Linked DNA regions of Rhinolophus ferrumequinum. The protein of the gene in region 2 interacts with the protein of the main gene of each other region in a pairwise test. Links are inferred from orthologs where the notes say so. Each region holds a gene or a part of one and is shown on either strand. Other genes may lie near its edges.

Region 1 (7,007 bases), on a different chromosome or scaffold from region 2:
GGGGATGGATGGGTGGAAAGTCAGTGGGTGCCGCAGTGGCTGGGGCTGGGGCAGTGCCCTGTGGAGGGGGCTGGGTGCCCCCACAGCCGTCAGCCTATCTTCTCTGGCTGCAGGGGGCTGCCAAGATGCTACTGGACTCAGAACAGCACCCAGGCCAGCTCAAGGACAATGTCTGCTCTCCTGGAGGGGCCACCATCCACGCCCTGCACGTGCTGGAGAGTGGGGGTTTCCGCTCCCTGCTCATCAACGCTGTGGAGGCCTCCTGCATCCGTACACGGTGGGTTCCTGCTGCTGCCAGCCCCCGGGCCTCCCGCCCAGTGCACCAGAGCCCTCAGCCTCACTCGTCTCCTCAGTCATCCACGCAGTGGATGTTTATCGAGCTCGGGCCTGACTGTGGGCAGGGCACAGGGAGCCCCGAGGTTCCCTGGCATATGGTTTGCAGTGCCCATCGTCCTGCCGGGAGGGGCAGCCCTCTGGGTGCTCACTCTGCTCCCCACGTGGTTTCATCACCGGTGGCCGTCAGACTGGGGTGATCATCCAAGCTGGGGAGGTGGGCCCAGGGGAACCAGAAGGAACCTCTGTGGGCCTGACAATAATACCTTTGTCCCAGCCTGGCTGGGGAGGTTAAGCAAGTTAGACAAGCAGGACGCGGTGCAGTGTGCTCCATGAGAGCAGCCAGAAAAACGAAAGAGCACAGACAGACACAGTTTGGTGTCTCAGCTCGGAGTTACTGTCCCTTATTCAGGTCTGAGGATGGACGGGCATCTTTCTCAGCCCCCGCCTGCCCTCCAGTCTAACCCCCCAGGCTTCTCCGAGTGCCACCACATGACAACAAGGCCAGAACACAGTGCTGCCCTGCTGGCCCCAACCCACAGGGGAGACAGACGAGGCACATATCCTGTGCTCAGGACAGTGAGGGCTCAGAGTCTGGGGGCCTGACACTAGATTTGGTGACTGAGCCGATTTGAATGAGGTGAGAGGGAGGCAGATAGCAGTCTAGGGGAGGGTAGCTGGCAGAGGGAACTGCAGGTGCAAGGGCCCTGAAGGGGGTGTGACAGCACTGCAGCACCCTGGGCTGGCAGGTGCCGGGAGCTGTGGGCCTTGACCCCTCTTCCCTCATGGGCACATGGGCTCAGGAAGGAGGCAGAGCCCTGGACCCAACCCTCACTGCCTCCCTAGGGAGCTGCAATCCATGGCTGACCGCGAGAAGGTCTCGCCAGCTGCCATCAAGAAGACTGTCCTGGACAAGGTGAAGCTCGACTCCCCTCCGAGGGCCCTGCTGGCTCCTTCTGGCCACGCCAAGCTGCTTCCCCGAAGCATGGCCCCGACCGGCAAGAAAGACTGAAGTGTCTCACCTGCCTGTCAGGCTGCCCGCCACCTTCTCTCTCCTGGCTCAGAGCTCCTGTGCTGGGTGTCTAGCCCCACGCCACATAGGGTGGCCCACTGCCCACGACTTTGGTCACCTGGGGTCAGCCAGCGTCATAGCCAGGGAGGGGCCACATCACTAGCCAATGGGAATCTCCACAGTCCCCTAATGCTTCCTGACCCAGAACAGGGATGGACTCTGACCTCAAACCTGCACTTCCTCTGCCCCAAACCAAATCAGGACCACCTTTCAGGAGCTCAGGAAGCGGGGTTTGGGGGCTTCACCTTTCAGCGTTAGCTGGTTTGAGGCTTGGCCTGAGCACAAAGGTCGAGGTTCCCCCTGGCCCCTGTGAAGGTCTAGCGAAAGGGGGGAGTCCCGCCCCACATCTGCTACTTCCCTAACCTCCACTCATGGTGGGGGCGGGGGGAACACCTCCTTCCTCAGTGTGGGAAGCACCAGAGGATCCCAGGCATTCTGAGTCCAATGGGAGGGACCACAGTTCTAGGCCAGCTCATCACCCCTCATCCCCATTTGACATTTGAGAAAAGGGCTCCTCAGACAGTTGGATTTCCAAGGCCACCAGCACTCTCAGGCCACTGTCCCCCATTCCTGACCTGAACCACAGACACTGTCACTTCTCTCCCTGGCCTTTTAGGTTAAATAAATTGGTTTCCAGCCCAGTGCCCTAACTTCTGACTTTGTCAGCATGTGTGGAGGGTGGCCTCCAGCTGCCACAGGGGGTCATTGCTGTTGGGTGTAATAGTAAAGGCTAAGCCAGTAGTCCCCGGGCCCCAGAGCCCTTAGTTCCAAGGTAGCTAGGCTGCCAGGGTTGGAGTCTCCCCGTGAGCAGAGGGGAGGGAGCCTCTAGAGAAGGGGATAGCTCCTCAAGCCCCAGTCGCTAGAAGTGTCTGGGAAGCTGGCACCATAGGCTGGGCTTGCTCTGCTCCCCACTGTGGGGGGAGCACCAGCCTCTGCATCCTTCACATCTCCGGGCTTAGTGGGGGCATATGTCGCCCCCACTCACCCAGGCAGAGGCAGTTGGAGCAGGAGGGCCGTAGAGAGCTAGATTAGGGTTCTCCAGAGAAACAGAACCAGTAGGACACGGAGATAGATAGTAAGTTACATATAAGAAAGATTTAGCCACAACTATGGAGGCTGGCAAGTCCAGTCTGCAGGGTGGGGCGTCAGGCTGGAGACCCAGGTAGCCGACATTCCAACTCAAAGGACAACAGGCCGAGAGAGCACCAGGCAGGTGGCGTCTAAAGGCAGGGAACTTCTCACAGCAGGGAGGCTTGGTCCTTTCGTCCCATTTGGGCCTTCAACTGGTCGGATGAGGCCCATTCACATTCCAGAAGTTAATCTGTTAACATCTACCGACTTAGATGCCGATCTCATGCCAAAACACCCTCACTGAAACAGCCAGAATAATATTTGACCAAATATCTGGTCACCGTGTCCCAGTCAATTTGACACAAAATTAACCATCGCAAGATCAGAGGAGTGACGGAGAGGACACTTGATGGAGCCAGAGTGCTTGCATTTGACATCAAAAAGTAGTCACAGAGCGTGAAGATAGTAAGAGGAGGCCCCTTGCCTCAGAGGTTGACACCACTTACACCCACCCCTGCTCTGGTGGGTTAGGGGACCTGGTCTGGGCAGCTAGGATGTGCCAGGGGCGCTCAGAACAAGAGGTGGGGTCCCCCAAAGGGCAGGAGGGTGGTGGGGATCAGGAGAGCTCCTGAGCGGGGGTTTTCAAGGAACAGCATTGGCAGTATCTCATCTCCAGTTCTCCCCTCCCCCTGGGCCCACTCAGAACCAAGACCCCGTGCACGCAGGTGGGCAGAGGAGACACTTTGGGGAGCCCTCCAAACGTAAAGGGAGACAGGAGACACAGAAGAAAATGCACAACAGAAAAAACCAGGGCCAGGGCTGCGTTCCCGCGTCTGCCAGGGTGGCCCCGACAGGCCTGGTCACTCCCCACGTACCCACTACTGCGGCCAGTGCTGGGCCTGGAGTCCATGCAGGGCCCGCCTAAGGAGTGAGTCCCCGGCAGAGACCCCCACCCTGGGCAGGTAGAAGCGGGCCTCTTGGACACATGGACTTTGAAAGTATCAGCACACAAGGGTCAGGAAAGCGGCCGAACCGGTCACAAGGCCCCACCTTGAAGGCCGGTGGGGGCGTGGCCGCCGGGGAGGGCGCGCCCGAGCCAGTCCCGCGAGACCCCGCCCGGGCAGGGGGCGGTGCGCGTTGCCGGGGCGACGGCGCCCGGGCACGCAGGCGCAGTCTGAGCGCGCTCCGCCTCCGCCGCCGCCGCCGCCGTCGCGCCTTCCCCTTTAAGCCCCGGCGGGTCGCGTCGCCGCTTCATGAATGGAGCCCACGTGACCAAACATCATGTGACGTCTGTGGAGCGGCGGCGGCGGCGGCGGCGGCGGCGGCGGATACCGAGCCTGGTCCGGCCCAGCCTTCCCAGCGCGCACGGCCCGGCCCGCGCAGGCGGCGAGCCCCCACCCCGGGCCCGGAGCCCCCGCGCGGCCCAGCCCCGCGCGGCCTCGGAGCGCCCGCCGCCCCTCGCCCCGGCCTCGGCCCGCCCGGGCCCGCAGTGTGGTGGGTGAGTGCGGCGCGGGCCGGGCGCTCCTGGGTTCGGGTCTGCCCCGCGCGCCGCTGGCGGCCCGTGCCTCGATTTCCCCATCGGGCAGGGCACTGCTGGCCCCCGCGCCCAGGTTCTGGGGGTGGGCCGCGGGGCGGCGAAGAGCGGGCGGGGCGTGCGCGGGGCTCGCTCAGTGGAGGGAGGGGCGGCCGGGGCGGCGGGAGGAAAGGGTGGGGTCGAACTGGGCGCCCAGGGCTCCGCGGAGGAGCCCGGCGGCCCGGGCCTGAGCTGCTGATTCATCAGGTGTGTGTCGCCGCCTCCCCAGGTGCAGGGGTCCTTGGCGGGCCCCGGGAGGGCTGGCGTGGGGGCGCTGGGAAGACCCAGCTCGCGTCGCTTTCGCTCCGTCACACGCGGGCCAGAGCCCCGAGGGAGACTTGCTGAGTCATCAGCATGAGGTCACTGGATGCTCATCCCGGTGCCCGGGGGATCTGAGCTAGGGGCCTGGGGCCTGAAAGGCGGGGAAACGAGGGGTGGAAGGGAACCGTGGGGACGTGGAGAAGGAGCCGGGCCCAGGGGCTGGGGCGGCTTTTTAAGTTTGGACTGAGGTGCGAGTTGAAGGCAGGGTGGTGAGGAGGAACTGGAGGGGCCACGGCGCGGTAGAAGGTGAAGCCCCTGGCCTGTCCATCCCTCCCAGGCATGCTCTTCTCCAGCGGCTGGTTCCCGACCCAAGGCTGGGACAGTTCTCCTAACCGGGAAATAGTTCTCTGAGTGAGAGGAGGGGAGGAGCTTAGGGGGGCCGTGCTAGGGGGCGGGAAACAGGCTTTCCCTGCGACTGGTCTGGTCCGCCAGTCTGGGTGCCCCTGGGCAGGGAAGAGAGGGGTACACAGGCCAGAGAGGGAGGCAGTGGGGCCTCCTGGAAGGAGGGGCAACGGGTAGGGGGGAGGAAAGGGTGGGGTTGAGCCAGGAGCCAGGGCTCCCCCAGTGAGCCCAGCGTAGCACAGCCTGTACTGGAGTCCCGGGGTGAAAGTGGACAGGGAAGGGGGCAAGCAGGCGCAGCGCTCCCAGGAGACTGCACATGAGAGGGAGCCGCACGACGTGGGCACTGGGGATCAAGGTGTCTGGTGAGCAGGCCCTGCCCCTCTTTGCAGCCCAGCCTTGGAGTCTGGGTTGAGGCTCTGGGTGGTGGTAGCGTGGTGGGTGCCTAGCCTGCAGAGCACAGCAGGTGGGCTGGGGTTTAAGAGTGCAGTTCCCAGTCACCGCTAGCTGTCTCACTTGAGGTTGGGGCCCAGTGTTGTGCAGGTTAGCGGAGAACGCGGCCCTGATGGGTTTTGGGCCAGGTGATGGCGACTGTTGGGAAGTGACCACTTGAGGGTCGTGTGGCCTGGGCCACCTCTCCTGGGTGTGTGGGTGATTGCTGGCTCGAGGGGTAGGGCAGTGTTTCGTCTAGACCAGAGCTGACCCTTCTTGCCTTGGGTTCATGGCCAGGCTAGGCTGGCCTTGTGGTTTGTTCTCCGAGTCACACGCACACACAGTCAGCCCTGCCTGGGCTTAGAGATGCCAGCTGTTTTAACTCTTCAGCTGATCTTTTGCCTGGAATTTTATACCCTAGGAAAGGGCAGATTTCTGGAGGGGTGTTGCATTAAGTCTTCTCAGTACATTAGGCTTCGGTGGAAGTTAAGTATTAGACTTTTTTCAGAGTGACTTTTAGTGGCTGGGGGCTTCTGGAGGAGGTGGTCTGATAGGCAGGGTGGGAGTGAGGCCCGGCTAGGTCAGGGTGCCAGAGTGCCCAAGGCCATGCCTGCCTGGAAGGTTTGGCCACTGGGGTTTGCAGGCCAGGACAAAGAGCAGAGGCTGGCTGTCTTGCCTCCTGCCTCGTGTCCATGCCTTGGAGTATGGGCCCAGGGGAAGGGGCTGGAGCTGCCCAGACCTCCTGCCCCTTCCTGACTGGCTCCCGGCCTGAGTGGATGGTCCAGGGTACCTTGGTGGATGCGGGCCGTTTGGGCCTTCTCCACAAGGTGGACTCAGCCTATGGGGGAGCTGAGGAAGGAGGATGACCGAGCCCCAGCTCTGGTCCAGCCTTTGGGGTGGGGAGGAGAGTTGTGGGGGGGCAGTTTCTTGATTTGGCCTCTAGGATCCCCTCCGCCTGGCTTCTAGGGGTGCCCTGAGCCATCATTCCCATGCCACCCCATCTCCAAAGCTGTGTCTGTCCCATCAGTGTGTGTCTACTGGGCGAGGCCAGGCCAGGAGGCTGGAAGCACTGGCTTTCCTGAGACCTGCTGCCCCTTCCCCCCTGCTCACACACACCTTTGATTAGGAGGCAATTGGCTGCACTGTGCTGAGTTCAGGCCTTCTGCGGAGGCTGAAATCTGTTGAGGAAGCACTTTTCTGTGTGATCTCTTCAGGAAGTCACCGCTGTGCTCAGCAGTCAGGGGTGGAGGGAGCATGGGGGTGGGAAAAGCTGGTGCTGGGGCTTTTCCTTTGGGCCGACAGTGGTAGGACACAGAACAGGGCCCCTACACCCCAGCTTGTGCACTGCCGAGAGGGCCTGGCCCAGGCTGGGCATGGGGCCCTGAGGACCTCCTCACCTCCAGCTGTGGTCTGCTCAGCCTCCTCTCTGGAAGAACTGGGCTCCCAGGGCTGCCTGAGTCCCTGGGCGGCCTGGCTGTGGGGAGACGCCTGTGGCCTCCTTCCTGCAGCCTTGCTTCCTGATGCAAGGCTGGGTAGGTGCAGTCCACCCTGGAGCCCACTCGTGCCTCTACCTCCCCAGCCCACACTAGCTCCAGTGAGGGTAAGAAGGCGACCTGGCCCAGAGTTACCTGAAGTGCTCCTCCAGGAGGGAGAACGCAGTCTGTCTTAGCCCTGCATCCAACCTGGAAAGTGGGGGGCACGGTATGGCGGCAGCTATTGTAGCCAGGATCCCAGGACTAGGAGTACAAAAATGTTTTTGGTGGGGTTTCAGGAAGCAGAAAGTGAGGGTGGGGTGTGGGAACGGTGACCAAGTGGGAGGGAGGGGGCCCTGTGGTGCTGACCCTGGGCAGGGGGCTAGAGGGCCGT
Region 2 (7,030 bases):
TATAATATAGTTTAAGGCCAGGTCTTATATTAAATTTTGCTCCAAAAGACACATTAGAGCTAATGGTCCGGCTAGGTCTCGTTTTCGGGAAACACGGTGTTTTTTGTGTGTCTGTGCACTCTATTTTCCCCACACAGTGATGTTATGTCTCAGCCACTTTGCACATCACTCCAATGCTGTAGTTCTTAGTCTCTACTTGATGTATTCATAAAATTCCATCTTTGTCTAGGGGCCCCTATTCCACTTTGCAAATATAGCAATAGATTAAAAGGGCAAAGGATTTTTAGACCCTTACCACAACCACACTTAAAGGTCTGATCAAATTCTCCAGGTTCCACTCTAGTAGGTACAGAATAGAAAGATTTCCAAAGCTTATGGTTAAAATTCAATTTGAAAATGAAGTGGACCCAGTAGCTTGGGAGAAAAGCTTAATACCCCCCTTACACTCCTACCCCCACTTCTGTTTTGCTTATTATTATAAAAGTAATATATGTTTATTTAGGAAAATGCAGGTTTATTTATTTAGGCAAAATGAGGAAAATAAAATCATCACTAATCAGAACAACTATGTTTACCATTTTTGAGCATATATGTTCAGTATTTTTTTCCTGTGCATATATATTTAAATAGATGTCAACACATATCATTCAGAAGCACTCTTTTAAACTTCTGGGTGTTTTTCTTTACTCATTGCACTGTGGCTCCTGCAGAGCACGTTTCTCTTATGAGCAGGAAACTACAAGCTAAAACTGGCTTTGGAGATTGATAGCTCTTTGTGTCAGTAGTTTGCATAATGAGATGTGCACACCAAGGAACCAAGGTTATGGGTGTGTTTTGAAATTAATACACTAATTGTGTTGAACACTGCTATACTGGAGTTCAGTTTATCCACTATGCACGCTGCTCCTGAAGTTCAAATTCCCTCAGCAGATATTCAGAAAGTATCTTACAAAACTGGTATAAATGAGGTTATGTCAGGGCCAGAATCTCTGTATGCATTTATTCCTCCATCTACTTAATTGCTGAAATGTCTGTGTTCCTTAAGTGTATTTTGATAAGGAGAAGATCTCACCAACATCCATCTAATGGTATGATACTGACGCATGCTGTGATGAGGTGATTTACTTTGTATGTAGCAACAAGCATATATTATAGGAAAGATACCTTCCTCATTCACAGGGAAGTCAGTTTGCTTCTGAGGGTTTGCAAAGTACTAGTCCTATATGTGCTCCCAGTAATGGTTAACAAACAAAAAGCAGCCAGGAGAAATCTTGATATTCAATACACACTGTTTTGGTTATCTATTGCTGTGAAACAAGCCACAGCAAAACTTAGTGCTTGAAAACTATTATAATCTCTCACACACAGTTCTTTATGTTCCCTAGGCTTAGCCAGGCAGGCTTCTGTGGGTCTCCTTAGAGTCTTTATATGTGGTTGCAGTCAGATAGCAGCTGGGGCTGCAGTCCTCTAGGGCTTGACTAGGTGGACTGGAAGGTCCAGAATGGTTTCTTCACTCACCCATCTGATGCCTTGGTTCATATAGCCTCTCTCTCTGCTTGGAGTCTCATCCCCCAGTGCTTTTCCCCATGGCTTCTCTCCCCATGAACATAGTCAGACTTCTTATGTGATGGCTGACTTCTAAGAGTATAAAATTAAGGAGACCTGACAGTGTGTCATTTCCAGCCTCCTTCCATAAGTTAAAGCAAATCAGAGGGCCAGCCTTGATTCAGTGTCAGGAGATTACATCGGTATCAGAAGGCTGATTCCTTAGGTGCCATCTTTAAAAACCAGCTACTTGAAATGCTCCAACTGTAAGTTGAACAAATTTACAATTTCAGCTATAATTCCAATAGAATCTCGGTATTTCCTAGCTCAAACATGGATTACAATTAAGGAGAAGTGAAAAGAAGAGTGAAGAAAACTCAAGATGGGGAAGGATTTTGAAACAGTAGGTACTTTCTTGGGCCTTACAAAGTTGGCAGCTTAGATCAAGGAAAAGAAAGTGAAATAAATTGGTCATTGCATTACCATTATCCAAACTGTGGGCTCAGAAGGCTTACTTGATGATGCTTAATTTTTATGAGAACTCTAGAGCAAAGTATTGCAATATTGACACATTTCAAGCATATACGGAGGGTTGTCTTTCCAAAGACATCAAAGAATTCAGACATCAATGTACAAGGATCAGTAGAATGTGAAACCAATTGAGGGGAAAAAATAAAGCAGTAGCTAGGAGAGCCTGGCAGTAAAAAGGGCTCCCATGGCACCAGGACAGGAGAGAAAAACCAGCATCATCTTTCCAGTTCTTCTGGAGCTTCTCAACATGTTGAATCTGTGCACCCACAGCACAATATATAAGTTTGGAAGGCAAGGCCTAACATAAAGACAATCTTGTTTCAATGTCTGCAAAGACTGGGAAACTGCTTTATGTGGCGGCTATGAGACTGGGGTTCCCTTTTCTTACGCCAAATAGCTTTTCCCTAGTGTTTATTTTTCTTAAACATGTTCAGACTCTTATCATATTGTTCTACTCCCTTTGAAAATATGTACTCTGCAGGTGCCTAAAATAATATACTCCCAGCAATTTCACTTCTGTAAAAGTAAAGGTTATTTCATTGAGTCTAAACTCAATGGCAATTTGTTGCTCAAGGAGGAAATACCAAACACTTTACAAACTCCTTGAGGGCAGCAGCCATGTTATATATGCCTTTGTTATCTCCTACCTCCTCGGCTCATTGTCTACCTTCTCCAATGTAGTAGTTTCAATACGTAACTCCAATTGTTAACAATATACTTTGCCCTTCTTTGATGCAGAAATGTCATTTCATTATATCTCTGCCTGTTTCATGTCAGGTTCATTGTAAATAATTTCTCCTGTTTGTTTTCAGTGTGCAGATTATTTTGCAGGCTTTTCACATAGCAGCTAAAAAGGTTTAATTCAAGTTGAAGAAACTTGCTTCCATTACAAGCAATTAATGTAGGCTTCACTTACCCCAAGGACTATTTGAACATATAAATTTACAGATAAATCCTGGGAGTGTCAAATTATGCAACCATGAGAAAGTAAGTTCTTTGGGCGTTGATCTGCTATAGCCAAGGGGCTGTGTGTGTGGTTTTTGAATGAAATAGTAAAACCACTGCTGGCATCACTGCTGGCATCACACCTGGTTTTGCATAATTCCAAGAAGCTAAAATCTGAAAACCAGTATTGTGAAAGAGTTATGTTAATGCGTAAGAGAAAATAATTTATCAATTCTTTTTTAAATCTTGTAAGATTTCACAGTATTCCTGTTTTCAAGAACCTGAAGTTTTCTGTGGGTAGTGATTGATTTTTAAGTAATTGTTTTTCATGTAAAACGTTAATACATTGTAAATTGAAAACATTTAAAATAACAAAGATAAAAATCATTCATGAGCCTACAACTACTACTATTTGGTGGACAACTTGGAATTCTTTTTCTAGGCACATGTTTTTACAACAGTGATCCATACTATACAAACTACTTTATAACTTTGTTTTATTTTTAAATTCATCGTGAGTACCTGAAAAGAAACTTGTCAAGATTATGGCATGTCCTAGTACTGCACAGTGTTAAAGGACGCCATCTGTGCTATCGTGTGTGTGCGTTGGTGGGAAAATGAAGCTGTTGTTGCCTCCTCTCCAACCAAAAGAGACTTCTTCGTTTGCCCTTGGCGTCCTGAGCTTAGCGAGAATGCAGGCGCGTGGGAGTAAGTGGAGGGCGTTCAGGGTGACCGCGAGCACGAGCTCCCCGCGCGGTCCACACTTCCCCTGGGCAAGTCCCGGATGGGACCGAGGGCGAGAGGGCAGCTCACGGTGCTCGGGGCCGGGTCCAAGCCTTTAGCCCCCGTCCCCCGGGCTGGCGCCACTCTCGGGCGGTGGGGTGAGATAAAGCGGGGCAAGGTTCTGCAACTCCAAATCAGGGCGGCGCAGCTCCGATACCAGCGCCTTTGCCGGGGCTCTAGGAGTGTTTGTTCCAACTGTTTAAACTGTCTCAAAGCGCCCGAACCCGAGCGACCTTCGGCAAACAACTGCTAATCTCGCGGGCGGAGAGTGTTGGCTTTATGTGCGGATAGGGTACATCGAGCGCGGGGACCCGGGAGCTAAAGCAGCCCTCCTCCCGGCACCACCCCCCCCCGCAGCCGCCCACTGGGACCCCCGCTCACGGCCCTTTCCCGCCCCAGGACCGCGAGCTTCTTGCGTCAGCCGGGGCGGGGGTGGGGGATTTTCGGCACCTCCTCCCGCGGCCAGTCAGGGAAGGAAAGGCCCGGGCTCTTGCCCCGCCTTCGGGGGGCGGGAGGCGTGTCGGGGCAGGAGCCCGGCCGGCTGTTCGGGCCGTGTCGGCGAGAAGCGAGTGCCCGAGAGCCCGCCGTCGCCGCAGCCGCTGCCGCTGTCAGTGCCGCCTGGTCCGCAGCGCGTCTCGGCAGCCAGGACAGGGCCGCCGCCGTCGGGGAGCCCCAGAGCACAGTCCCTAACTCAGCATGATGGACTTGGAGCTGCCGCCGCCAGGACTGCCGTCCCAGCAGGTGCTGCCCGGCCCTCAGGGCCCCGCTGTGGTACCAGGACGGGGCCAGGGGCGCGAGGGAGCCGCGGCCCGGCACGGACAGCCACAGCCGGCTTCTCCTCCCGTCTGTGGCCGGAGCCTGGAGTGCAGCGGCCGCGCACTGGAGTCGCTGCGCTTGCGCCGGGGCGGGGTGGGGCGGGGATCGGGAGCGGGGACCCAAGGGGCGGTGAGGGGAGTAGGGGCGCAACGGGGTGGTCAGACCGACAACTTGACTGCGGCCTCAGAAGGCGACTGGCTGGGGCTTGGGATTACGCCCGCGTGCGTGCGTGGGTGAACGGGAATCTCTAGCTGCGTCCCCGGCCACCAGGTTGGGACCCAGGAGCCCCATTAGGCCCCCCGAGTTTGAGCGGCCCCAGAGGCTGCAGGGTAGGAGGGGGCGGACGCTGGCGGTCTGAGCCGGCGCGGCCCGGCCCTTCCGGGGCCGCGCGTCTCCCCCGCCTTGGAGCCGGCAAAAATGTGCCTAGTCACGGGGCCACTCTCGGGGGAGCTGAGGTCCCCTCCGGGCTGGGACCCGGAACCCCTCCTCTGCCGCCGCTGACCCCGGCCCCACAACCTGCGCGGTCTGCGGCACTGCGTGCTCATCCTGCTGGGCCGTCTAAGGGTGTTCCTTTGCAAAATAATCTGTCTGTTCGTCGGATCACTCTCTGAGGCAGTTTGGCGAGAAAGCCCTGCCCCTAGGTGGGGGACGGAGGAGGTCCCCAAGTGCCCGGAGCGCTCGAATGCCCCGACGTGCGGCGGCCGAAGTGGGCCTCGCGCAGTTGGAAAGGTTCAGGCTCTGAGAACCCGGGATCCCCTCTCAACGCGCAGGGAAGAGTGGGTGGGGCTGAGGACCGCAACCGGACTTGTCGATTCCCGCGGGATTCCTCCCCGTGGCGCGCGCCGCGTGCGTGGCCTTGGCCTCGGTGACAGTGGCTGGTTGGTTGTCACGGCGGCCCTTGGTTGGCCCTTTCCTGCTTTATAGCGTGCAAACCTTGCCGCGCCGAGGCCAAGGGACAAGTTGGAGCTGTTGATCTGTTGCGCAATTGTTATTTTTCCCCAGGGCGGCTTTGTCTTTGGATTTAGCATTTCAGAATTGCAATTCCAAAATGTGTAAGGCAGGATATTGTGTTTTGTGCTGTCAACGGTAAGTGTAGCGAGTGTACATTAGAATTGTTATTGCTTTTAGGCTGTTACTAAGTTTTTGGCTTTCATGTATTATTTCTCCTTTGGATGCTATGTATAATTTTCCTTTTCTGTTGAGAATTTGCCTCGATTTCTTAGCATGTTGCTTCTCTTGCAAGGGCAGAGAGAGGGTGAAACACCTGTGTTACATAATACTGTGCTATAAAGTTCTTTAAATTGTTGTAAAAGTGAAAATTTTCTATTCATACTTTGTAGGGACTTTTAAAGGAGTAGATATTTATATTTCCAATGTTTTGGTAATTGGGTTCTGAGGAAAAAATATTTGGTTCAAGGAAATGTATAACTTAATAAGTACAGTAAATATGTTTATGCTCATAAACCTAATGTTTTAGACTGATCCTGAAGATGTAAAATAAGGTTTTACGTCATTAGCAATGTATTAATTATGCTGCTTTTTTTTTGAAGCTGTTTACAGTCTTGAACTTTCCCCCAGTAATAATAGGGAATGTATTCCCCTGGTTTCCACCAGTATGAAGAAGTGTGCTTTTGGATTTACGAGCTGTTCAAGAGTAATCTATATAGCCATCTATATGACAAAAGGATATAAAATGCTAGTGACCTTTAGCTTTCCTAAATTCAGGAATTGTAACCTGAAGCTCTTCATTATTTTGTTTTTCCTTTTTCTTTTTTTACTATGTAATTTAACATTTCATATGCAGAAGTGCATAAGGCATATACACTGCTTTCTCATTTAAATGGGAATTTTTTCAGTTTTGTTTGGTAAGGTAACTCCTTTTCTGTCTTTGTAATCAGACATCAATAGTATACATTTGAAGACTATGGAAAAAGAAAATGGAGTAAAATTTAGAATTAATTTCATGCCTGTGATTCATATTAAATCATTGTTTGTAGTCTAGAAAGAGTTGAACAAAGAGTGGATTCTGTACTTTGGTCAGAGAAACTCCAGGTGTGATGTGGTACTAAGATCCTGGTTTTTACCTCTGTACAGAGAAGGTGTTCATGAACAGGTCAGTAAGGAGAGCCTTAGATTCTTTCTCCAACAGGTGGAAGGAACCATTAACTCTTTTCAAGGGTGTCTTGGAGAGATAAAGTACTTTGTGTATAAGAGATGAAGTTGATCTTGGACTACACAGATAAGATTATTTTTAAAAAGAAAAATGCAACAGATCTCTCATCTCCTGAATGACTATTAACCAAAGACCAACTTGACTTTTTGGATGTGAAAAATTTCTTGAGATTGTGGAAGCAACATATAGGAGGGTAAATACACAATTCACATCCGTCTTTCTGCATTAAAAAATAAC

Evidence for each region. The genes of interacting proteins can lie anywhere in the genome.
Region 1: the proteins of NFE2L2 (region 2) and MAFG interact in binary tests that used the Homo sapiens proteins (3 or more experiments, as listed by UniProt). The link is inferred for Rhinolophus ferrumequinum from reciprocal best matches to the Homo sapiens genes NFE2L2 and MAFG.

Annotation. Positions count from the first base shown.
Region 1 is NC_046304.1:54,701,773-54,708,779, reverse strand, and holds the start of MAFG (transcription factor MafG), read left to right. Parts: upstream 1-3,920; 5' UTR 3,921-3,974; intron 3,975-4,170; exon of another isoform or gene 4,171-4,256; intron 4,257-4,906; exon of another isoform or gene 4,907-5,074; intron 5,075-6,430; exon of another isoform or gene 6,431-6,741; intron 6,742-7,007. Other genes in the region: PYCR1 (pyrroline-5-carboxylate reductase 1, mitochondrial), read left to right, coding at 114-277, 1,180-1,345. UniProt on the Homo sapiens protein: Since they lack a putative transactivation domain, the small Mafs behave as transcriptional repressors when they dimerize among themselves.
Region 2 is NC_046291.1:48,398,319-48,405,348, forward strand, and holds the start of NFE2L2 (nuclear factor erythroid 2-related factor 2), read left to right. Parts: upstream 1-3,940; 5' UTR 3,941-4,500; coding exon 4,501-4,545; intron 4,546-4,867; exon of another isoform or gene 4,868-4,890; intron 4,891-5,113; exon of another isoform or gene 5,114-5,706; intron 5,707-7,030.